Linked DNA regions of Rhinolophus ferrumequinum. The protein of the gene in region 3 interacts with the protein of the main gene of each other region in a biochemical or structural test. Links are inferred from orthologs where the notes say so. Each region holds a gene or a part of one and is shown on either strand. Other genes may lie near its edges. The genes, in order: YWHAB, MAPKAPK2 and ZFP36.

Region 1 (7,912 bases), on a different chromosome or scaffold from region 3:
ATTCTCCCCCAATAAATTACATTCTATTTTCAAAAATAACCAAAATTCCTGTTCAAACACATTTATTTTAAAAAGACACATGTAAAGAAAAATTAAGGATGAAATGAAATCTTCACACAAAAGATATACACATGTTGTTTTACTACGAGTAGAAATCTATCTTTAGAGCCAGACTGCCTGCTTTTGATTCCTGATTCCAGCACTTACCGTTGCTGTGTGTATATCCCTAAGAAAATTATTTAACTTCTCTGTGCTTTGGTTTATTCATCTGTAAAATGGGGCTAACAGTACATACCTATCATTGCTTGTTATGAAGGGTTATTAATATGTGTAAAGTATTTAGAACACAGCTTGGCACATAGTGAGCAACATAAGTGGTAGCTATTAGTATTATAAACTAATTGCTTGATGCAACCTCCTCAGTTGGCGAATAAATCACAAATGGATAGACTCTATATGTGTTCATACTATATAGCATATATGCATATATCTTATCTATACATGTATATGTACACCCATTTATATGGTCAAATAACCTTTACACAACACCTAGTACACAGCCCATATCCTTATTTGATTACTGAGTTTCCCACAAGAATTCATTAAAGGCCATTACCATTTGCATGAGAAAATGGGCTCAGAAAGACTAGAGATGCTATACACAAAATACGGTTCTATAATAATACTCTGTCATTTTTTAAAAAAGCAACATGCGTACACAGAGGAGTTGGGTCTCATCAGAATGCAACTGGAGGAAAAAACAAAGCCATTAATGGTAAACTCTGTGATTAAAAAACAAAATCAAAAGCTTATATTTAACAATTTCCAGTTTGTAAAAAGGCTTCATACAATATAGATAGAGAAAGAAGAACCAGAGATTAGGCAGCATGCTCAAAATCACACAGCTAGAAAATGCTGCAGGCAAGACCTGAATCAAATTGATCTGACTCCAAGTCTAGTGCTCTTTCTGCTTGTATATCCACAGCCAAATGGGCAAAACGCACTTTTTGCAGTGGCCCAAAAATCTGGAGATTCTGCCTTGGGAACTAGCATCATGGGAATTTGCTCAGCCTGGTTTTCTGGAGGTTGCCTCCCTGATCAAGAGATCCAATTCTAAAATGGCTTCAACATAACACAAGCACTGCATCATGGGAAACACACAGAAGATTATAGGGTAGGAGCCATACCATACTCCAGGGACTGACAGTCCATAAATATTTACTACTGATGAATGAAGACATTCAGTCTGAAAACCAGGTGTGTGTGGTCTAGGCCAAATCACCTCACTTCCCACAAAGACTCCATCTGTAAGATGGGTGAATGGTTTCTTATCTCATGGAAAGTAGGGGCCAGGAAAATAATTCAGCATTTGCTACTGGATTATTAGCCTTCTATTTTGAAGACTACCCATAAAATTCTAATTTGAGTCCAGTGAAACAGACAGATTTTACTCTCACCATCTTGTGTGCTGCTAAGGACATAGAGCCAAGAAAAATGAGGGTTCAGGCAAGTGAGACACAATTCCTAAATAAGAAATGGGGTTCACTGAAAGTGTTCAAGGAGAAAAATCACTACAAACTAAATAACACTTTTACATTTCTAACGGGAAAATGCAAAAAGCTGCGTGACCATGTGTCCTGTTCTATAAACTGCATGTGTGTGGTTTCATATGAACAACTGAAGACAATGAGAAATGCAGACAATTTTTATATTCTCACAAATGCTTCGTCTTTCTGTTCAGGCTCTTGCTGCCACCTAATTTGCTGTGTTCATAACATCATCTTTCCAAATTCCATCTCCCACACATAGCAAGTCAAACCAGAGCCTGATGCTTGCTATCTAGCCTTACCAAAGTGAAAAGCAGTGACAGCAAGGACAAGAGACATGGATTTTTACAGAAAGGTTGGCAAATTGTCTTACCAATACTGCCACCTTTGAAAACCCCATTGCATCGGAGTTCTCCATTTGCAATAGACGAAGATGTACTCATCTTAGGTAGAAAAGGGGTCCAAATCACTCCTACTCTTCCCCACCACCAGAGAGGCCATCAGGGCAAATTTCAGTCCTAAAAACATACTAACACACAGCATGAGGGAATTTGGGGCGAGGACACAAAAGACTCTGGCATTAATGACGGTAGATACCGTGGGAAGATACTCGGTACTCAGCCTTTTACATTTTTTCTCCTGGGGATCCGGCCTGACTCAGTAACCGGTTCCAACAAATGCATTTTCTTGATTCAAACCTCAACCCTAGACTTCCCAGGGAACCTCGGATTCTGCCAGGCTCAAAAACCAGCGAACGATGATGAAATAAATGGCTTTACTGCAAAGTGGGAGGGGGTTTGCTTTCTGCTCTCTCCCAAGGTTAAACCCCTTACCCATCCAGGGAGAGTGAAGCAGGAGCAGTGGGCCTCGAGAACTCGTCGGCCTTTGGTTCAATTTTAATTGCTGGAAGCCAGAAAGTAATAAGCAGGGGTGACAGGGCTGAAAAGGTCGGATCTCCGCGCCCGAGGAGCAGGGAGGGGTCGCGCGGGGATCGAAACTGGGCAGTGAGGGAGGGCCTGAGGTCCGCGGCTGGAAGCCCATTCCCGCCCGGTACGGAGCCGCACCCCGCCCGCCGGGCAGGGCCGCAGGCGGCGAGGGCGGCCCGGGCCTCTCCGAGAGCGAAGGGCCCGGCCCCGGAAATAGGGAGGGGCCGCGGCGAGACCAGGCCCGCGCCGCAGGCGGCCGCGCGGGGCCTAGAAGGCCGTGCGCGCGACCCTAGAAGCCCACCCGCGGGGTCGCCCTGGTGGTCGTCGCCGCCGCCGGGGAGGGGGGGAGCTTTGGCCTTGAGCCCCCGGGGGCCACGGGCGGACCCCGCGCCGCACTCACCGTGGGAGGGCTGCAGGGGGCAAAGACGCTTGCGAGAGGAGCTCCGAGCGCGGTGACCGCTTTCTTCCCAGGCCCACTCCTCAAGCGGCAGCGGTAGCGGCGGCAGCGGCGGCGGCAGCTGCAGTGGCGGCGGCAGCAGGCACCCCGGCTCCGGAATCGGCGGCGGCGGTGGCGGCAGCTCCACTTCCGCTCCGGTCACCACTTCCGCTCCGTCCCGAGCTCCGCCCCGCCCCTGCGCCTTCTCCTCATTGGGCGAGCGGGGCACGGGGTTGCCCCGGCCGCGTGAGAGGGGCGCTGACAGAGGGTGGAGGAAGCGGAGCAGGGGACCTGGATGCGGCTGCCGCCGGAGGGCGGAGGGCCGGGGCCCCGAGCAAGGAGGAGGCGGGCGGTGGGGGACGGAAATGGGGGCGGGGGAGCGGAAAGAGGAGGTAGGAGGAGAGGGGGCGGGTGGGGGGAGGGTCAAGAACTGGGATGTGCTGGAACGAGGAAGACTGGGCGAGGTTTGGGGTGGGGCGGGCCTGAGGCCCACTCTGTTTAGGCTAAACCTCGAGAGGGCCAGGCCCAAAGATTCCGAGGTCATCGGTTCCCACCCCACCCTAGAAGTAATCGCCATGGGGTTAGAGGTTGAGGTCAGTCCCCTTTTGCGCTGTCCTTTGGAAATACTGGATCTAGGGATGGACAGAAATTGCTCATTCCTAAATTTTTGCTTAATCCTGTCTTCAGTCCTTCAAGGTACTAATCATTTCCTCTTTTTTGGACTGAAGAGGCCATGAGGATCGAAGGTCTTTTTCCCTTTTTTTAAGCCTGTGTTGATAATCTCGTAATTGAACACCCCCCTTTCGAGCTCCTAGAGGAAATTTAAGGAAAGGAAACAGGCCCCCACAGCCCCCACTCGCATGACTGCACTCACCGTTATCAACATTGATCTGTTTCTTCCAAGGCAGTTGACTCTTAAACACAGTTCTTCAAAATGCCTCTCACCTGCTCGCCCTCCCTTTCATTCATTCTTTCAATAAATATTTATTGAGCAGGCTGTGTGCTGATTGTTGGAGACACAGCAAGAACACCACAGGCGGGGCCCTGCTGTCTTGGAATTTACAATCTGGTAGGAGAAAAAACAAAGTGAAGACGCCTTTGTCACCTCTTCTTTACCCTGACTCACCTTAATGATAGACTTCTAGCTCATCACCTTACTCTGAGCCCTGCCTCCATCAACTGCCAAAGTGATCTTTTTAAAATGCCATTCTAATCCTGTTCCTTTCTTGCTTAAATCCTTTGGTGATTAGTCAGACAGACCTAGAAGACAATTGGTAGGCCCCTTGAGTGCGACAATCAAGGTTCTCCAGAGATTGCCCTTACCCTGTACCCTTTTCCTGCTCTTTCTCCCCCATCATAAAACCCCAATTCAATTGGATGATTCCTTCTCCTCCCAAGATAACGTCCAGTATTTCTAAATCATTTGTGTGTTAGTTGCCAAGTTTTTAAAGACAGAGATTTTTGTGTGAACAAAAATGTGCATCTCTGCCTTGTCTAGCAACATTTGTGTGTGGGAACAGTTTGCTGAAGGCAAGGAGTGTGGCTGCCTACTCTAGGTCAGACATGGACTTTTCAAAGTGCCAGGGTCCCCTCCTGACCAAGTCTGCTTTCCTCATTCTTCTTGTCTGTCATATAGGTGTTTGTGCCTGTCACTCCTGTGCTATACCACCTTTTAACTTGAGCAAGCTTGAACATTGTGTAATGTAAACAGCACGAATGTGACATCAAAACCACAGGATGGTTTGAACCCCAGAAAAGTTTCCCAGTGCAAAAACTTCCCCATGGGGATCTATCTTTGGCAAACCAAAGGTCAGTAATCCAGAGACTGCTCGGGTTGAAATAAGCCTTCATGAAACATGACTGTGCCTTATGCCCCCATCCAGAAAATAGCCTAGTGGGTCACAGGGCTCATGATGGTTACACCACAGATGACATCAGCAGTGTACTGAGGGAACAGAAGTGCCCTTTGCCAGGCGTCCCTGGGTGCCTGCTAACGGGTTGCATGGATAAGCTGCTTTCACCATTTCTGCATTCTAGGCCATTGGTCAACAAACCACAGCTATTAACCGACAGAGACACAAAGAGATACTAACATACAAATGTGGCAGATGCAGCCATAGGAATATATATGCCCAGGGTATTATGGGAGCCGGAGAAGGGCACCTAACTCATCCTGGGAATGTGGTGGGGGAGCAGGCAGGACTTCCTGAAAGAGGTGATAGTTGAGCTTTGGATTCCATAATGAATTTTTTGTTAATTTAGTAGACTATTTTTTTAGAGCAGTTTTAGGGTTACAGAAGAATTAATCCGATGGCACAGAGTTCCCATAGACTCAACCTGTCCCCACCCACAGACTCCCCTGCCATTAACACCTTACATTAGTGTACATGAGTTACAATGGATGAACCAATATTAATACATTATTATTAAAGTCCATAGTTTACAGTAGGGTTCATTCTAGTCTATGGATTTTGACAAATGCACCATGTCAGGCACCTACCATTACAGTATCATATAGAACAGAGTCACTGTGCGAAAAATCTTGTGTGCTTCAACTATTCAGACCTCACCCTCTCACCCGAACCCTTGGCAGTGACTTTTCATTTACACTGTCTTTGTTTTGCCTTTTCCAGATGTTGTATGGTTGGAATCATACAGTATGTAGCCTTGACTGAGTTAAAGCAATATGATTTACGATTCCTCCATATCTGTATTGTTTAAGAGCTCGTTTTTTTTTGTCACCGAATATTATGGCATTGTATGAATGTCCCACAGTTTGTCCTTCTTTCTCCCCTTCCTCCCTCCCTCCTTCCTCCTCTCCCTTCCCTTCCCTTCCTCCTTCTTTCTTTCTCTCTCTCTCTCTCTTTCTTTCTTTCTTCTTCCCTTCTTTCTTCCTCTCTTTTGCTTTTTATTATGACCATTTTCAAACAAACTCAAAATTAGAGAGAATAGTACAATGAACTCCATGTACCCATCACCCAGCTTTATTTTACTATTTATCTTTTGCCTTTTTTTTAGGAGTATTTCACAGCAAATCCCAGACATTATATCATTGAATTTGTAAATACCATTCAATGTAAATACCATTATATCATTGAATTGTAAATACCTTAGTTCCATATGTAGCTCTAACAGGTAAGAATTTTTTTAAAAAAAATAACCACAGTTCCATGATCACACTTAAGGAAATTAACAATTCCTTATTCTCTTATAATACATGGTCCAGGTTTGATTTTCCCTAATTGTCTTAAAAATTACTTTTTACATTGGTTTATTTAAATCAGGATCCTAATAAGCTCTACACATTGCATTTAGTTGCTAAATCTCTTAAGTGTCTTTTAATCCATCACAGTTAACGCTTCCTCCTTTTTTCTTTATATGATTGATTTGTTGAAGAAACTGGGTAAATTATCTTATCACAGTCTGAATTTGGCTATTTGGTTTCTTGCAGAGTTTTAAAAATGTGACCCTATCCCTTGAATGTCCTATAAACTGGCAGTTATATCTAAAGACTTGATTGGATTTTGGCTCAATTTTCGGCAAGAAAATTTTACAGGTGGGACTATGTTTCCTATTGCTTCATACCAGGAGGCATATAATATCTAATTGTCACTAACAGGCTCTTTTAATCTGAAAACCTATTTCTTTCAGTTCTGGGATATTTTTGTGGCTTATTTCCATGAAGATTTCCTTCCTCCACCTCTCTATTTTCTTTGTCTTCGCTTTCTGGAACCCCAATTATTCAGATATCTGAGCTCTTGGAATGATTTTCGAATTATACTGTTTTTTCCTTCCTCTCTCTTATTATTTTATCTTTTTGTGTTTGGGTTTACTTTCTGAACGTTATCATCCAACTTGTATTTAGTCAGAGTTCTGTGCAGGAGACAGAAGCAGAAACCACTCTAGGTATTTTAAGCAGAACAGGATTTAATAAAGGGAATTAGGTGCTTGCAGACTCATTAGAAGAGCTAGAATTGCCTAAATCAGGTGGGACTTTGTTTCAAAGTCACCATAGCTGTGATTGAGAGGTCAGAGTTACTACTGCTACTCCTGTTGCAGCATCATAACTTCCTGATCACACAAAGCTGGGGACTGGGCACTGGACCGGGGAATCTGGCCACTGACCTTTGGCTCAGTAAAGTAAAGTTCAAAGACAAGAGGGCTGCTGTTTGGATTGAATAAGAAGTTGAAATTGAAGGGTAGCCTATGACATGTCAACTTGCGTGAGGTTTTTGATATCCATCCCACCAATTTTGGCTTTTCGTTTTAATGGGACAAAGGCTGAAATCCTGACTCAGAAAGGTCTATCGGTGTATCAGAAAAAGAGCTCCCATAGTTCTCACTAACTTTGCCAGACAAGGGTAAGCTGTGTCAAGGAGACCAGCATTCTCCAAACTCACTGAATTGAATTTTGGCTACATAATCACCTTTGTTTTCATATAAATGAGGTCATTTGAAAGGTAGATATCATTAATGTAAAAACAAAAGATGAATCTGTATTTCTGTTTCATGATAGCTGAACCAGAAATAAGTTTCACAGTGTGTCTAGGCTTTGCAGATTTCTGCCTGTAGAGAAAGTGGCAAAGCGTTGTCATGCTCCAGTACTTCCTCTAGCTTTGGAAAGTGCACACAGCTATTCACCTCCAGTCTCTTTCTTCAGAGTGCCAGCTGGGCAAAAAGAACCATGAATTTATTGGGTGTTTGTGTGTGTGTATTTTAAGAATGATATTTTTTAGCATTTAAGTAAGAAAACGCCTGCTGTATTCATTTTAAATAATGCATTTTCATTACATGGTGATGCATGAATATATTTTAATTGTAAGAAAACTAAACTATTAAAGATAAAAACTAAAGTCCCCTGTGATCACCACCGCACCAAGTCCGTTTCTCCTCCCGAGAAAGTAACCAAGTATCAATTACATAGGAGGGAGCATTAGATTATGCTGTGATAACAAACATTCTTAAAATCTCAGCGACTTACAACAACAAAGGTTTATTTCTTA
Region 2 (7,233 bases), on a different chromosome or scaffold from region 3:
CAAGTAGAGAAGCAGCAGGGCAAGCTGAGACTACTGTTTTAAGCGCTGATTTCACTTAATAGGGCTAAAAGATCACAGACCACAGATAGGGAGCAGGGCAGCTGGGCAGTCACCACCGCCTATCAACTCTCAGAGCTGTGACACAGCAGAGGCCATGCTGCTGCCCTACAGCTCTGCTCTCTGCCCCAAATCCCCAGGAATGACCTGACATACTGTGTACAGTAAGAGTTCTCCTCCCTTTTCCCTCAGGCGGTTTCCAGATGGGGTAACCCCTCCTGCCCCCCACCCATCTTCCTCCCTTGCTTTATAATCAAAACACTACTGGTTTTGAAAATCACTTCACTAATCAACACCTAAGGTTAAGTTAATCAAGATCCAAGATCTATAAATCTCTTTGGTGCATGCCTGGAACAGGATTCTTTGAACCAGATTCCCCCTACAACTGTAATTATGTCTTAGCCAATATTTGGATATGAAGTGCTGTTGACACTGCTGTCAGTCTCTGAATGTCTCATCCCTTCTTTCTTCCTCTATTATTAAGTTTTTATACAAAGATGTGTGGGGAATCTATAATATAACAGTTGAGTCAACTTGTAAGATCTGGGAGCAGGCTGCCTATCAAAACAGATTCTGACTTCAGTCTTCACCCACTCCTAACTGGAGAAGAATAAACTATGAGCATTATTTAAAATACTGCTGGATTTTCGCTTTCAGAACTATTCAAAAGGCGGTAATATCCAAATCTCTCTTCTACTAATTACAACAGAAATCTGTATTGCCAAACAAAAGCATCTTAGAGGGTGGTTTTGTGTGGCTATGAAATAGAATAAGGAGAAGATGAGAGCTTTTGTTCTGAAGTCTTTACACAATATTCCAACTCTCCAAGAAAATGAGTAGCCAGTGTCCCCAAACTGCTGATGGGTGAAGGCAGATGGCATTTCAGAGGGGACAGAAAATTCTCCTGGAAAGAAACATCAGTCACTTCCTCAACTCCACTGCCCAAGGTCAGAGCCACGGTCAAACAACTATTCCCCTCCCTGCCCCCAGTTATAAGTACAGAAAAAGTGGTCTAAGGCACAAAAAGTATTAAAATGTTCAAGAGACTAATATATTCCTTCTCCAACAGTCTAACACTAAACACTAACCAAAACCCCATAGTAACACCATAAAGTAGAAACCAAATAAAATCTGAGCGTTGGAACTAGTTGAAAGCTCTCTCCAAAAAAGGTAGGTTGAAAGCAGCAAGAAAATAATTTTAGAGATCTTAAATCTGGAAATCGGACATGCTTACCCTCTATAAACCTGAAGTACCTACCAGAGTTGTATTACAGCTAATTATATATTCAACAGTTTCACCCATAACACATATCTCAGTTTTGTATTAATAGCTGAAATACAGCTAGCCCTGCGGGTTGAGGGGGAAGAAATATAACACAGGAAGTAATTTTCTCCTCCTCCAATCATTAAGACACCTCAGGGGAAATAGGCCTGACATACCACCTTTAGAGATGTGGTTTAATCTGTAAACCCTCGGGAGGGGAAAAACGTCTGTAGTGACTCTGAACACTGGCTACCATTGCACGGGGACCCACGCACCTCATCAACCTCCAAGTCTATTCTGTTTAACTTCTGGAGTAGGTATTCTCACTGAAATCCCCGTTCTCCCTCTACCAGACCCACTCAAAAAGAAAAAGAAAAAAGAGGTTGGGTTTCCCCAACTCAAGGATAACGCTCCCTTCCCACTGTCCAACAACGGTCCACATCCAGGACTCAAGTGGCCACCTCTGATCTGCGGAATCAGTACTGGGCCATGCGTGGTCTGCAGACCGGGTTTACAACGATCACTGGAGCTATGGACACAGCGGACGCCGTGCGGGAGGCTGCTGGCCTCCCACCCGGAGCCTCACTGCACTTAAGGTAGGAGGGTCCCTACTCTAGGATCAAAAGAATCCCTCCTGCCCCCGGGGGCAGCGGCCGAGCGGAATCCCCAGCCGGGCACCTACCTCCGGGGCCCGCACGACGCTAGGCGGCACCGCCGCACTCGCGAGGCTCAGGGAAGTGAAATCACACACTCCGGCTCCCAAATAAGGAGCGAGCCTAAATAAACTCTTGAGATCCGACTTCTCAAAACCAACCGACCAACCAGCTCAATGAGTAATGGGCCTTTTGTGCCCGCAGAAAGAAAGGAAGGAGGAGGAGAGGATGGGGAACCACAAACCCCGAAAATCACTTCCTCGAGGCGCGGTGAAATTAGCAGAAGTGGTCGCAAAGCCAACCGTTCCAACTCGGCTGGATCCGGCTCAAACCCCAAAATGGCAGAGTCCTCAAGAGTCCTCTCGAGCCCCCGCCACTCACACCCGGAGGTGACCGGAAACGCGGTCTCGGCGGCGTGGTCAGCTGGGCCCTGACCTTCCCGCTGCCCCCGCCCTCCGCGCACTTGGCACCCTCGGCGCCGGGACCCACGGTCCCGCAGCGGCCCGGACGCCCCGTCCCAGCAAAGGGTCGGTGCGGTCACGCTAAGCCACCCCGCGCTCCAGCGGCCCCAGGGCGCTGGGGGGCGTCCCTCGGAGCCCCCTCTGCCGGTCCTCCCTTTCCCCCGCCCCCAAACCTACTTTTAGGGCGAATTTCTCCTGGGTCCTCTTGTTGAAGATCTGTAAAACTTTCCCGTTGATGCCCAGCCCCAGGACCTGGGTGGTGACCTTGTAGTCGTCGATGATGGCGTTCTTCTTGATCTGAAGGCTCGACCTGACGTGGAACTGGGGAAACTGCTGCGGGATCTGCGGCGGCAGCTGGGCCGGGGCGGGGGGCTGTGGCGGCGGTGGCGGGTTGGGGAACAGCACCGGCGGGGTCTGGCCCTGGGAGTTGGACAGCATGGTGCCGGGAGACGCGGGAGGAGAGGCGGGAGGGCCCGCGGCCGCTCCCTCCTCGGGCTCCGGACGGGGTCCCCGCCACCCCCCGCCCGGCGGCGAAGTTTGCTCCGGGCTGGGGCCGGCTTCCCCGGCCCGGCCCGGCTCCAGGCTCGGCGGGTCGCGGGGCTCCGTGGGTCCCGCTGTGCGCCGCCGGCGCCCACCAGCCCAGTTCCCTCCCTCCCACCCTCCCCCCCGGGGGCCTGACGCTCGGAGGAACGCGGGACGGCAGGGGCCCAGCCCGGGGGGAAGCGGCCGCGCGACAAAGTACCCAGCCCGGGGGCCGGCGGCCGCGTCACAGCCTCGTCTGCGTCCGGGGCCGGTCCTTAAAGGGGAGGGTCGGAGGGGGCAGGGCTTGGGGAGGCGGGGCCGGGCCGGGGAGGTGTGGGCGTGGGGGAGGGGCTGGCCTTAAAGGGGAGGACGCGAGACATCCGGAGCGTAGAGGGCGGGCCTCGGGGCTGGGGGACAAGTGGGGACGGTGAAATCCTAGTTCTTAATGAGGGCCACGCAAGGGGAAGGCGGAGGGGTATGGAAGTAGCTGCATAATTCAGATAGAAAATCCACTTTTTTTCCCAACTGTGTGGCTTTTAGCGGCAGCCAATTGGAAGAGGGAGTGTATTTTGAGGGAGAGGGATGACAAGGAAGTACGGGCTGGATGAGACCTCGGCGGTGAGCTGAAGCCACAGAGGCCGTTCATCCTAGGAGTAAATGTGAGGCAAATATTAAATATTTTCTTAAGTTGAACATTTTCCTCTGCGTTTTGCATTTCTTTTCTCATAAATTTATTGTTTTTCAGTAAAGACATGTAACTATGAAGAATTTAGTAATTATACCTTTGAACATATATGTATATTTTCATGTAAAATAGCTTTTAAAAACAGGATACAGGGTGGGAAGAGGATGGATTGACTTTGAGACTTCCTGAAGTCGGGAGCCTTTAGCAACTGGCTGGCAGTGTGCCCCTGAGCAAGCCGTCGTGGCTGTCTCTCTGCGGGAAGAACAGCAAGCAATACCTGTTCATGGCTTGTGGATCGCGTTAACAAGACAATGTGGCAAACGGGAAGGTCTGGTGAATAGGTTCTGATTTCCAATGTGGAGAACCTAGACCCTGAATCTACAGTCATGAAAAGTGGGTATTTCTGAAGAAGCAGAGTTCTAGTCCGTGTTAGCCCCACGTCTCTGAGGAAGAAAGCGAGGATCGAGCTGGACCTATAGCGCAGCCCACATCAGGGGAGGCGGGTAGGGAGGCTCTAAATATGAGCTGCCAGAAGACCTCTATACACGTTCTGTGGGGCTTCGGGGTGACTATCAAATACATCCCTGCTGAACTTGCAGCTCTGACTAGTGGAACAGTTGAGCAATAAGACAAAAGAACCAGACAGGCGATTGCTGATAAGTCCAAATCAGACAATGGGGCTCGACCTGTGGCTCCCCGGGCCCCCTAATCCATCCCCCGACACTCCACAGGCCCCCTTGTCCGGGGAGACCCAGCTCGGGAAGAAGGAGAGAAGTGAACATCCCGAGGACAGGGGCCCTTGGGGACTGAGGCCAGGCAGGGAAGGAGGGAGGGGTCCAGTGGAAGGCAGGAGTTACCCTCCCAGCACAGTCCCTTCCTGGACCTGCAAGGCTCACTCCACAGCCCAAGGAGAGAAATGGTTCCCCTAACACAAATATTTGTTCTTTTCAAGCAGAGTTAATTTAGTGTACACCTTGACTGAGTCCAAGGTGCCATGCTCGGTTGGCCCTGCGGTGGTGAATTGTGTTAATCTGTGGGGAAGAAGACACACAGGTACAAGGCGGACAGCATCACAAGAGTGGCACAGACACAGGTCCGGGAGCAGAAGGCGGAGGGATTCACCTCTGGCAGCAGGAACCCGAACTTCCTCCTGTGCTAAAGGGTGGATGTGGTTAGACAATTCCCCCAAACCCTGACTCTTCATAGACAAAGAGACTGCCTAAGGCCACAGAGATTAGAAGACACCTTTTACCTCACTAGATCTATCGAATTGCGAATTGCATTGCGGGAGGCACACGTGGGAGATGCCCAAGGGTCCTTACCTAGGGGCGAAAGCTCCAACTACTTAGTCTCTTTCTCAGGTCCAGAGTCGGGGGCTGCTCAGGACTCTGAATTGGTCTTTTTTCCTCTGCAGAGGGTCACTAGGGGCTTCCTACTGCTTGGCATTGGGCAGTCACCTGCTTCTCTCCACAAGGCTAGACAGATGACAAGCTCTTTATGCCCTTTCAGAGGTGGCCAGGCACCATGGAAAGAATACAGAATTTGGAGGCAAATGACCTGAATTCAAGTCTATCCTCAAGTTGAGTTACCTTGAGTGAGCCATTTATCCTCTCTTTGTATCTGAAAATGAGAACAATTATAAAGTCTACTTTCAGGGCTGAGAATTAAATGAGATGGTGTTCATAAGAACTCTTCATAAACTATAAATTATCATAAAATAGTCAATATTATCATTATTGAGGCATTGCTGGCTTGCTCCTCAACTCTGTGGATCACTGCCTGCGGATGGGTCCCTGATAGTAAAGCTGCCTGCTTACCTAGATAGGTCTCTGGGGAAGTGCTGAAGCCCAGTGACCTAGGAATAGCAAGATAGCTGAAACCCCAGCTGGGAACTCCTCCCGGAGTTACAAGGGCCTATTAGGCCTGCGGGGCACATAAGAACTCTAAGGGCCTGTACATAGAGCATAGAGATTACAAAAACTGCACACAACACCCAGAAAACACACAAATATATGAACACAAACAAACACATAGGCGCAATGTGATTGACATGTAACATGGAATAAATGCATAATGCATAAATAATAACTGGGGAATAAGATGGACTAAAGGAAGAGGCATTAGGCAAGAGATGCAGAGTCTTAAGTTCCATTCCAGTACTAATTACGTAACCTCATGAAAGTCCCTTGCCCTCTCGGTTCCCTTTTTCTCATCAGTAAAATAGTAATAATAACATTTGTCCTGCCTACATTGTAGAGCTATTGTAATGATAAAATAAAATATTTCCCTTAGGATACTGAAGTCCGAAGTCCTGTTTATATAACACCAAACTCGCAACCATCTGCAATGAATTCCTTAAACAGTTTTTCTGGATGTGCAGGAGCCCTTTAAAAGTTAAAGATATATGCATATAGAAAATACTGACATGCAAACGCATATGTCATGCAATATTGTACACACAAAGACAATTTAAAGACCTCAAGTACATAACATTGGATTATTTCTAATCCTTGATTCATGACACACCTTCATCGTTGTCCAAGTATCTCTGCTTTTATTTAGTTACTAGTTATTTTTAATAATACAATAGGCACCTGTGAATCCACTACCCAAAATTAAAACTAGGACTTTGACAATAACATACATCTAAGTAGGTATTTCCTCCATTCCCCCACAACCCACCTGTTTCCCTAGCTAAAGATAACCATTATCCTGAATCCAATGGTCACCATTCCCCTGCTTTCCTTTTATATAGTTTTATTTCATAAGGACACATTAGAGGCATAGGTGTCTGCTTCATGAAAGATGAAGATCATTGTGGGGACAGAGCCCCAAAAAGCAGTTTCCAGGCTCTCGGCCTCACATAGAAAGGTGCTGGCTCAGGTAGTAAATAGCCATTGACTGTGATCAAATGGCCAGCAGCTGTGGCTAGTTGGCCGTCAGCTGTAACCAGTGAGCCATTGGCCATGAATATAACTGCCGTGGCTAGGCTAGCAAAAAAAGGGGGAGCTAGCAAGAAGATGGTGGCTGAGTCTGCAAGCGGCACAGTGAGGGTTGAGAATTGTGTTGCTCCTGGTTCCTGTGTCTCCAACCCAGCCGCCAGTGAGAGTATAGTGGTGTGACTCCCCTACCTATGGCTCCGTGGGTGTTCCTTTTTGGCCTCACCATGTCCTGCGTTCTTGTGTGGGGAGCGGGAGCAGAGACCCCACAGACCCCGCAGGCCGCCCCGCACGACACTTGGCGTAGTCGGCAGGATACCCTGCCAGACTCCCCGCACGACAAATGGCGCAGCGAGCAGGGTATGGTGTCGGCCAAAGCTCCCCAAAGGGCGGTGGAGCAGTTTGTGCGTATGAACACTCAGTCACAGGAAGACCAGGAGGAGCAGCTGCCGGAGAGCTGGATCCCCGTGGAGGGGTGGGAAGACGTGGATGGTTCCCCAACCAGCAGAGGCCGGAGAAAGCTAAGGTCCTTGTGGCCCTGTGGGCTGGGAAGTGCTTGCTGAGGCAGCCCGGATGCAGGACTTGTAGTCCCAGGAGGAAACGCTTGCTGAGTCCTCTGTGGGAGCTGAGGGTGAGGTCAAGGTCATCCCTC
Region 3 (7,806 bases):
AGTGTGAATCCCCCAGCCCCTCAGGTCCTGGAAGGCCGGGTGGTGGGCCCCAGGCCACCCCGGCTTCCGGGCTGACCCTCCCCCCGCCCCCGCCCGCCCTGGGCTCGCGCCCCGGCACATTCCGTCCTCCCCGCACCGCCCCGCCCTCCTCCCTCAGCCCCGCGGGGATGGAAACATCCCATCCGCGCCCAGCTGAGAGCTGGGTCAAGGAGCCCGACAAGAGGGGAGCGCCTGAGCCCCCGACGCCCCGGGAACTGGCTCTCCTGGTTCCTACCGGGTGACCTCACCTGGCCCCGCCCCCTCAGGTGAATGGCCAGGTCAGGTGACGTCACTTCCTGCCAGGTAAGCGCGGCTGGTGGCTGTGGCTCCGGGAAGGTTTGAAGGAACTGTGTGAATCGACTCAACCCGCTTCTAAAAAGGGGCACACCATCCTCCCCACTCTCACTGCCTCTAGATCGCAGGAAAGCCAGGATTCCAGTTTACACATAGATGCCTTTTATTCAAAAATTCAAAAAAACACAGAAAAATAAACTTTTAACAATATATATTACTTAATATATTATTATAGTACACTTACAACAATAATTATCCATCGTTTCCAATATTACAAAAAGGAGGAAGAAAAATACAAGGGAAGCAGACGACCCAATATATATAAATACTATAAAATCTATTAGAATAAATAAAGTCGTCATAAATAAAGGGCCCAATGATTGGGGGAGGGGGGTTGGCAACGTTTTGGCTACTTGCTTTTGGAGGGAAACTTGAGCACCAGGATTGCCCCTCATGGGGAGGCTCCAGTCACACCAGAACCTCAGGGTCTAGGAAAAACTGGGAGGGGGCAGTGGGGGCCTATTTATTCACAGCATTGGGCAGGGGAGAGGGTGGGGGGAAGAGGCCTCACTGCCTCCCTTAAATTTGCTACATCTTTTTTAATACAAAGACTTCAGAATACACTCCTTCCCCCAACACCATGAACTTGCACACTGGGGACCTGCCCCAGTATGGGGTCAGTGGAGTGGGTTAATGCATTTTGGAAGACGGGGGCTACTTGATTATAAGAGTTCCCCACAGTACAAGAGAAATGGCCCCCCTTAAGATCCAGCTGATCTGTACTGGGCAGGCACTTGTCACTCAGACACGGAGATGCGATTGAAGATGGGGAGTCGCCGAGAGGCTGCAGGTGGCTGGGGTGGCCCAAAAACCCCAGCCTCAAAGACTGGTGAGTCGGACCCTCCCAGGCTGCTGCCGCTACTGGCATATTCATCAGGGTCAGATCCCAGGGAGTGTGCAGAGGGGCTCCGAGCCAGGCCACCCACGGGTCCCCAGACGCTGCTGGGTGTGGCCCTTCGGCAGGAGGGACAACAGGCTGGGGTAGGGTCCCTTCGGGCCACAGGGGTCCCAGGGGCAGCAGAGAAGGCAGAGGGTGAAAGTGGAAAATCCCCAGGTGGTGGTGGTGGGGAGCTGGAGGGCGAGAAGGAGCATGAGGACAGGGAAGGGCCTGCTAGGCCTGCCGGTGGTGGCGAGGCTCGGCGGCCTGAGGGCAGGCCTGAGAAGCTGATGCTCTGGCGCAGGACATGGGGGTGGCCAGGGGCAGCCAGGTCCTCGCTGGGGTTGTGAATGAAGTGGCAACGCGAGCCATAGGGGCAGCGGCCCTGGAGGTAGAACTTGTGGCAGAGTTCCGTCTTGTACTTGGGGTGGCGACTGGCCTGGCGCAGCTCACCCAGGCCATGGGCAAACTGGCACTTAGCCCCGTAGCGGCAGCGTCCACTCTCTGAGAAGGTCCGACAAAGCTCAGTCTTGTATCGGGATGAGGTGGTGGGGGTCGCAGTAGGTGAGGTGGGTGAGGGCGACAGCTCAGGGCCTGGGCGGGGAGGCAGGGGTGCGAAGCCTGGGGGTGGGGGCACCCAGCCACAGCTCCGACCCTCCACCAGGCTGGTGGAGCGGCCAGGCAGGCGGGCAACAACCCCAGATGGGTTGGAATCAGATGAGCTGAAGCTCCAGAGTCCTGAGGAGGCCCAGCCTGGGCTGGATTCAGTGTCTCCATGGTCGGATGGCAGGTCAGGGCTCAGCGACAGGAGGCTCTGTGGGAACAGGGATCGGTTAAGACACCGAAAATGCAGGGTGACGCCTCTCCTCAGCTTCAGGGCACCTAGGAGCTTGCCAGTCCGGTTTGTGGGCTCCTAGCCTTAGCCCCACCCGCCCGCAGAAACTCATAGGTTCCGGATCGGAGGGACCCCGAATTGGAGGTTGAGTTTATTAGCGAATGAAGCCTATCTCGAAGGACCCAGGAATCCTGGGTCCCCCGGCTGGATGGAGAGGCCCCCAAACTCAGGGGCACACCAATGCCCTCCAATTTTGAGCCTTCGGGCCTCTTGGGATTTGACCCCCACTCCTTGTGTTCTCTGGTTTCACAACTGGAGGAGCCGGCAAAGTTAACCTAGCAGTTGGATCTTTTAGGTTTTGAGTCCCAGAGAACTCCTCTGGGTCAGGGAGTGGAGACAGAAGTCGGTTTCCCATCACCCCGAGACTCCAGCCCCAGAAACGCCTCCGCGCAAAACCGCGCCCTCAGCAACTACTGGGGGGAAGCCAGGTGTGGGGCCATTTCCGCCTCCACACAGCCCTAGTCTGAGAAAACTCCTCCCGCTTTCCATCTCCAAGGGTCACCCCACCCATGTTTGGGCAGAGACCCTAAAGTCGCGGGCTCCATTTTTCACCTCCAAGGAATCACATTAGTCTGAGAAGGAAGGCAAGAGCCCGGCCGGAGAGTACGGCGCTAAGGAGTTCCACTTAGAGAAGAGAGCCAGGGATCCCGGGCTGGAGTTTGCGGCGGTAGAGAGCCCTAGTTTGAGAAGGAAGTCAGGCATTGGGACCCCAGGGTACCGATCGGCGGAGACTCACCTCGTAGATGGCGGTGAGATCCATGGCGGCGCGGAGAGCCGATCAACGGTGAACCCGGCCGAAAGTAGGAGAGCGCTGGAGTGAGACTACCGCCCGGTGTAGGAGCCGGTGCTTTTATGAGATAAGTGGAGGCGGGGCCATGAGGGGGCGGGCCTGGTGGGCGGGGTCACGATGGGGCGCTTCCCGGACGCGCGCCCCCAGCGCAGCCCGCCGACCCGGGACTGGTCCCGGTTCCGCCTGGCTCCCAGCCCGGATGCGCACGAGCTGGGCCCGCAGGCGGCCGCGACCCGGTGGGGAGTTTGTGGGGTGCGGGTATCCACCCAGTTTTCAAGGCTGGAGACTGAGGCGCGATATAGGAACTGGGACCGAGGTGGGGGCAGGGTTCCTAGGAGAACTGACAAGGGCAGAGGCCGAGGCAGTGGGAGTGCGTGTGAGAGACAGACGGACGGGGGCGGGGAGAGGCGCGGAGAGCCAGAGACGGAGAAATGGAGAGAGGCAAACAGAAAAACACAAGAGACACAGCAGAGTGAGGGAGAGACATACACAGGGAAGGAGAGAGAGAGGGAAGAGAAGAGAGACTGGGTAAGGAGAGGAGAGGAGGTGGGGAGACAGACAGAAAAGACATGACAGAGACAGTCCCAGAAACAAATTCAGAGAAGTGAGAGGGAGGGTCACATAAAGAAACAGAAAAAGAGGTTGAAAAAATAGAAACAAACACCCTTAGACAGAAATCCGCAGGAGCAAAACAGAGAAAGGCAACCAACAGGCTTGGCAGGGAATTCTCTCCCGAGACCTGCCGGCCTGGCTTCGTCTCGCTCAAACATCCCAGATCCGGAGACCTTGACCGCCCTCCCCGCCCCCACTCTCCAGGGGTGGGGTCCTGGATATTTGGCGAGGCTGGAAAGGGGCCTCCTTTCCCAATTCCAGAGCCACTGTAGCCTCTCGCCCTCCCACAGATAGTGGCACTTCTGATCGCTTCCTCTAGGCTAGGCACTGTTGTATGAAAGTGTTTTACATACATACATTAACTCAAGGAGGGGTTACTGTGACCATTTTATACACGAGGAAACCCAGGCATAGAGGTCAAGTTACTCTCCTATTCTCATTCAATAAGTGGCAGCAGCCCAACACCAGGGCTTTAAATTATGTTGCATTTGCCTTCTCGGAGAACTCAAGATCGGAAAGGGCAAGATCTTTCATTGTGGTGGCGGGTTACCTTGATGGAAAGCTGTTTTGATATGGAAGTAATGGGTCATCCCCAATTGATAGCCCAATGGGTATCATAAAGGGGTGTACCTTGAGGGAATTCTAAACTTACGGGGATCACTCCCCACATAAGCAAGCCGTTTATTGGTAAGCGGTTGCCCTTCGTAAAAACATCAAGATCTGGGAAGAAAACTCGTTTCTTAAGGGAGTCTTGGTGAGCTGGCTGCCCTGAGTGAAAATATGGGAGCAGAAACCATTGCCATGGAGTGCTGTTATAATAGTGCCAAGTTCATTCTTGCAGATTGAAGTGGGGAGATTCGGCAAGGCACACCGACCCGCCTTGTCGGACAGAGCTCGGGGAAATCCCTGGTGCGGCGCCTTCTGGGGCTGAGGGGGCCTTCCCGACCAGTCCCGTGAGCTGGGTGGCTGCGGGCGGCTCTGGCACGGTTGCAGCCTCCCGCTCGCCCGTGACTCACTCGCAAGGGGCGGGGGAGGGGGCCTTCCTGGAAGCCGTGACGAGGAGGCTCAGCCCGGACGCCAGGGTTCCTCTCCTGTAACCAGGGCTTCAGTCGCCTGTAAACAGAGCCTCGAGGACAACGGGAAAAGGGGGGAAAGGCGGGGTGCCTGGCACCCGTCTCCCGGTTGGGCTCCAAATCCCTGTGCCGCTAGTAGGACGAAGGCAGCAGGAAAACGGGAGGTGGGGTGCACCTGGGGTCCCCGGAGTCCGGCTTGGCGCCAGCCTCGATCTGGGAGGAGGGATTCCAGTTTCGATTCCCTGGAGACAGGGAACATTTCCCATCCCTGAGTCAGGCTGACCCCCTCCCCTCTCCCATCTGCTGAGTCATCGGCCCAAGAGCCTGGACGCTTTGGATTGGGCGACTCTTGAAGAGGCTGGAAGGGGGTTGGGGGGGCTTTGCACCGGAAAGGACCGACCCCGAAACCCGGACGGGTGGGACCCAGGAGACCGGGCCTCGATCCCTCCTTGCTCAGATCTAGGGGTCCAGGTCTCCAAGCCACCTCTGGCTTAGACCCAGGAGAGCCGACCTCCAGTCCCTCCTAGGTTAGACCCTAAAGTCCGAACCCCCAGCCCCTCCTCCCTCCGATTTAGGAGGCCAGCTCTCCACCCACCTCCCACCCTATCCTGGCCTCAGACGTCCCAGCCCAGGAGGAAATTCAGGGCAGGACTCCTCCCCACGCCCCACGTAGCCGGCGGGAAAATCCGTGGCCCCAGCGGCGGCCGGGAATCCCCTCTGGAATGACGGTGGGGAAGGGGATGGCCGGGGTCCCCGGCGGGGTGCAGGGGGCAACTCCTGGGCGGGCAGGAGCTGGGGGAAAGGGGCGGAAACCAGAGAAGCTAAAAATACAACGAGCACTTCCGGCCTAGGGGGAGGGGAACGGAGCGCAGTTTCCAGAAAAACAAGCGGGGACGGGAAATGCGGGGGTGTGAGAGCCGGGGCTAGTGCGCGGGCGAGCGGGGGCCGTGTACTCGCGGCGGCACGTGTGCCCAGGCCGAGTGTGCGCCTGGTGTGATTGGGCGTGAGCGGGTGCGGCCGGCTTTGTGCAACTGCGTGGGCCTGAGAAAGAGAGAGAGAGAGAGAGAGAGAGAGAGAGAGAGAGAGAGAGAGAGAGAGAGAGAGAGAGAGAGAGAGAGAGAGAGAGAGAGAGAGAGAGAGAGAGAGAGAGAGTTTGTGTGTGTATATGTGTGTCGTATATTGTGTGAAGTATGCGCTGCAGGTGCGAAGGTGTGTGCCCTGGCGTGACTGGGTTAAGACCTGGGGTACCTGGGTATGCCATTGCACCAATAGGTGTGGGACACGAGCGGGCCCACTTCCCTGTGTGAGGGCTGTGTATTTTCAATCCCACTTGACATGGCTGTGAATAAATTGTGTGAAACCGCTTGGGCCTGTGACTGATTTATACTGTTTTTACTTTAACCATCTCTGGGTGTGGGAGTGTGTACTCAACCTTGTCTTTGAGGTGGTGTTGGTGTGACTTACAAACCCAACCTGCAGGTCTCTTGTACCTCTGAACCACTGTGGGATCTGGAGTGACTAAGTGTGTGTAACTCCGTGAGAGCCTGGTGAGGGTATGACTGACTGCCCTCTGCTGCGATGAGGATCTGCATACACACGTCCAAGTTGAGTATGTATAAGCATCTGTGAGACTATTGGCAGTTGCGGCTGTGTACAGGCCCCTGCAGTTCATGTGTGTAGTGAATAGTGTTCTTATGTGTCTGTGTCCTTATTTGGGGGTGTCACTGAGAACATACGAGGCCAGCATCTGGTGGTTCCTCTGTGGCCCAGTCACAAGGTAGTGAAACTGGTGAACTTTGGTTCCTGACGTCTACAGCTGGCGCATGACGGGGAGGTTGTGGGCGCACTCTCCACTCCATGTCTCTGCCAGCCTGTATGGGCAGAGCAGACACACACAGGCGCACATACTGGCACCTGGGAAACCTTATCTCTCCCAGCCAAGGCTGCTTTTGATAATGTTGAGCTGAGGGCATGGCTGAGTCAGCCAGTGATGGGCAAAGTCTGCGATGGGGTAAGAGATAGCAGGTTAAGTAGTGGTTAGAGTGCTGTTTGTGTATTCACATGGATTGTTCCTTTAGTCTGATGTGGGTTTGTCACTGGGACTGAGAGCCTGGGGACACCATGATAATAGGATGGTGGGTTATGCTATTCTCTGCTGGGGTGGGGTCTTGTATGTGCTTGTGTCCCCCAAAACAGTTTGCTGTGTGGCAGTGCATCTCATGTACACCCTTCCCTGGAGAGTGTGGTCGTGCAACAGGCTGTACGTTGCCCTCTGGGTCAAATAACCTAGTGAAGATCTAAACCAAGGGCCTCCATAACCTGCCTGGACATCTGTCCCTGCCTCTTCACTGTGGTCCAGGACTCCACGTTATTCCATAAACACACTGTCACTTTCCAGCCTCAGGGCCTTTGCACTTGCCATTCCCGTCCTGGAACGCTCTTTTCCCCAATGTCCACATTATTCTCTCTCCAAGTCTGCTTTCTCATCGAGGCCTTCATGTCATGTCAAGGATTTTAAAAGTTAAAAAAACCCACAAATCTTGGTATATTTAACAAATAACAAATACATGTAACATCTATTTACAGACCATAATGAATACCCATGAACCACTACCCAACCTAAGCTCTAACTTTCTCAATAAAGTAACATAATTCTCCACACAAGTCTTGCATGTTAGATTCCTAAGTACCTTTGTTATTTTTTTCTATTAAAAGTCTCCACTTCTGATCCCACTTTTCTACTTTAGTTTTCTTCTTGGAACTTCCGATATACTGTTGACCCTTGAACAACTAGGTTTTGAACTGGGCAGGTCCACTTACATGTGGATTTTTTTTTTCAATAAATACTGTAAATGTAGTTTTCCTTATTATTTTCTTAGTAAGTTTCTTGACACTTCTCAACTGCTATGTACCCTCAGGCTGGAAGCTGGTGGGCTGTGCTGGGGAAGGTGCCTTTTTGGTTGTACACAGATAATTGCATCATGTTAGGTGGGAATGACTTTGTTTTTGTATTTATTTGGAGATTAACTATGGGTGAGGATGAGCATGGGTGCCAAATTGACAAGGACTAGATTATAATGGTCAGTGCTTTTTTTTTTTTTTTTTTAATTTAGGAACAGTGTGTTTCTCCAGGGCCCATCAGCTTCAAGTAGTCGTCCTTCAATCT

What was found.
Region 1: the proteins of ZFP36 (region 3) and YWHAB form a complex in vitro, tested with the Homo sapiens proteins (2 studies listed by BioGRID). The link is inferred for Rhinolophus ferrumequinum from reciprocal best matches to the Homo sapiens genes ZFP36 and YWHAB.
Region 2: of the proteins of ZFP36 (region 3) and MAPKAPK2, one has a biochemical effect on the other in vitro, tested with the Homo sapiens proteins (2 studies listed by BioGRID). The link is inferred for Rhinolophus ferrumequinum from reciprocal best matches to the Homo sapiens genes ZFP36 and MAPKAPK2.

What each region holds. Positions count from the first base shown.
Region 1 is NC_046306.1:12,838,174-12,846,085, forward strand, and holds the start of YWHAB (14-3-3 protein beta/alpha), read right to left. Parts: upstream 3,092-7,912; 5' UTR 2,874-3,091; intron 1-2,873. UniProt on the Homo sapiens protein: Adapter protein implicated in the regulation of a large spectrum of both general and specialized signaling pathways. Binds to a large number of partners, usually by recognition of a phosphoserine or phosphothreonine motif.
Region 2 is NC_046305.1:24,722,034-24,729,266, forward strand, and holds the start of MAPKAPK2 (MAP kinase-activated protein kinase 2), read right to left. Parts: upstream 2,874-7,233; coding exon 2,613-2,873; intron 1-2,612. Other genes in the region: proline-rich proteoglycan 2-like, read left to right, coding at 2,872-3,244, 4,374-4,420. UniProt on the Homo sapiens protein: Stress-activated serine/threonine-protein kinase involved in cytokine production, endocytosis, reorganization of the cytoskeleton, cell migration, cell cycle control, chromatin remodeling, DNA damage response and transcriptional regulation.
Region 3 is NC_046298.1:38,567,869-38,575,674, reverse strand, and holds ZFP36 (mRNA decay activator protein ZFP36), read right to left. Parts: upstream 3,026-7,806; 5' UTR 2,926-3,025; coding exon 2,902-2,925; intron 2,085-2,901; coding exon 1,131-2,084; 3' UTR 495-1,130; downstream 1-494. UniProt on the Homo sapiens protein: Zinc-finger RNA-binding protein that destabilizes several cytoplasmic AU-rich element (ARE)-containing mRNA transcripts by promoting their poly(A) tail removal or deadenylation, and hence provide a mechanism for attenuating protein synthesis.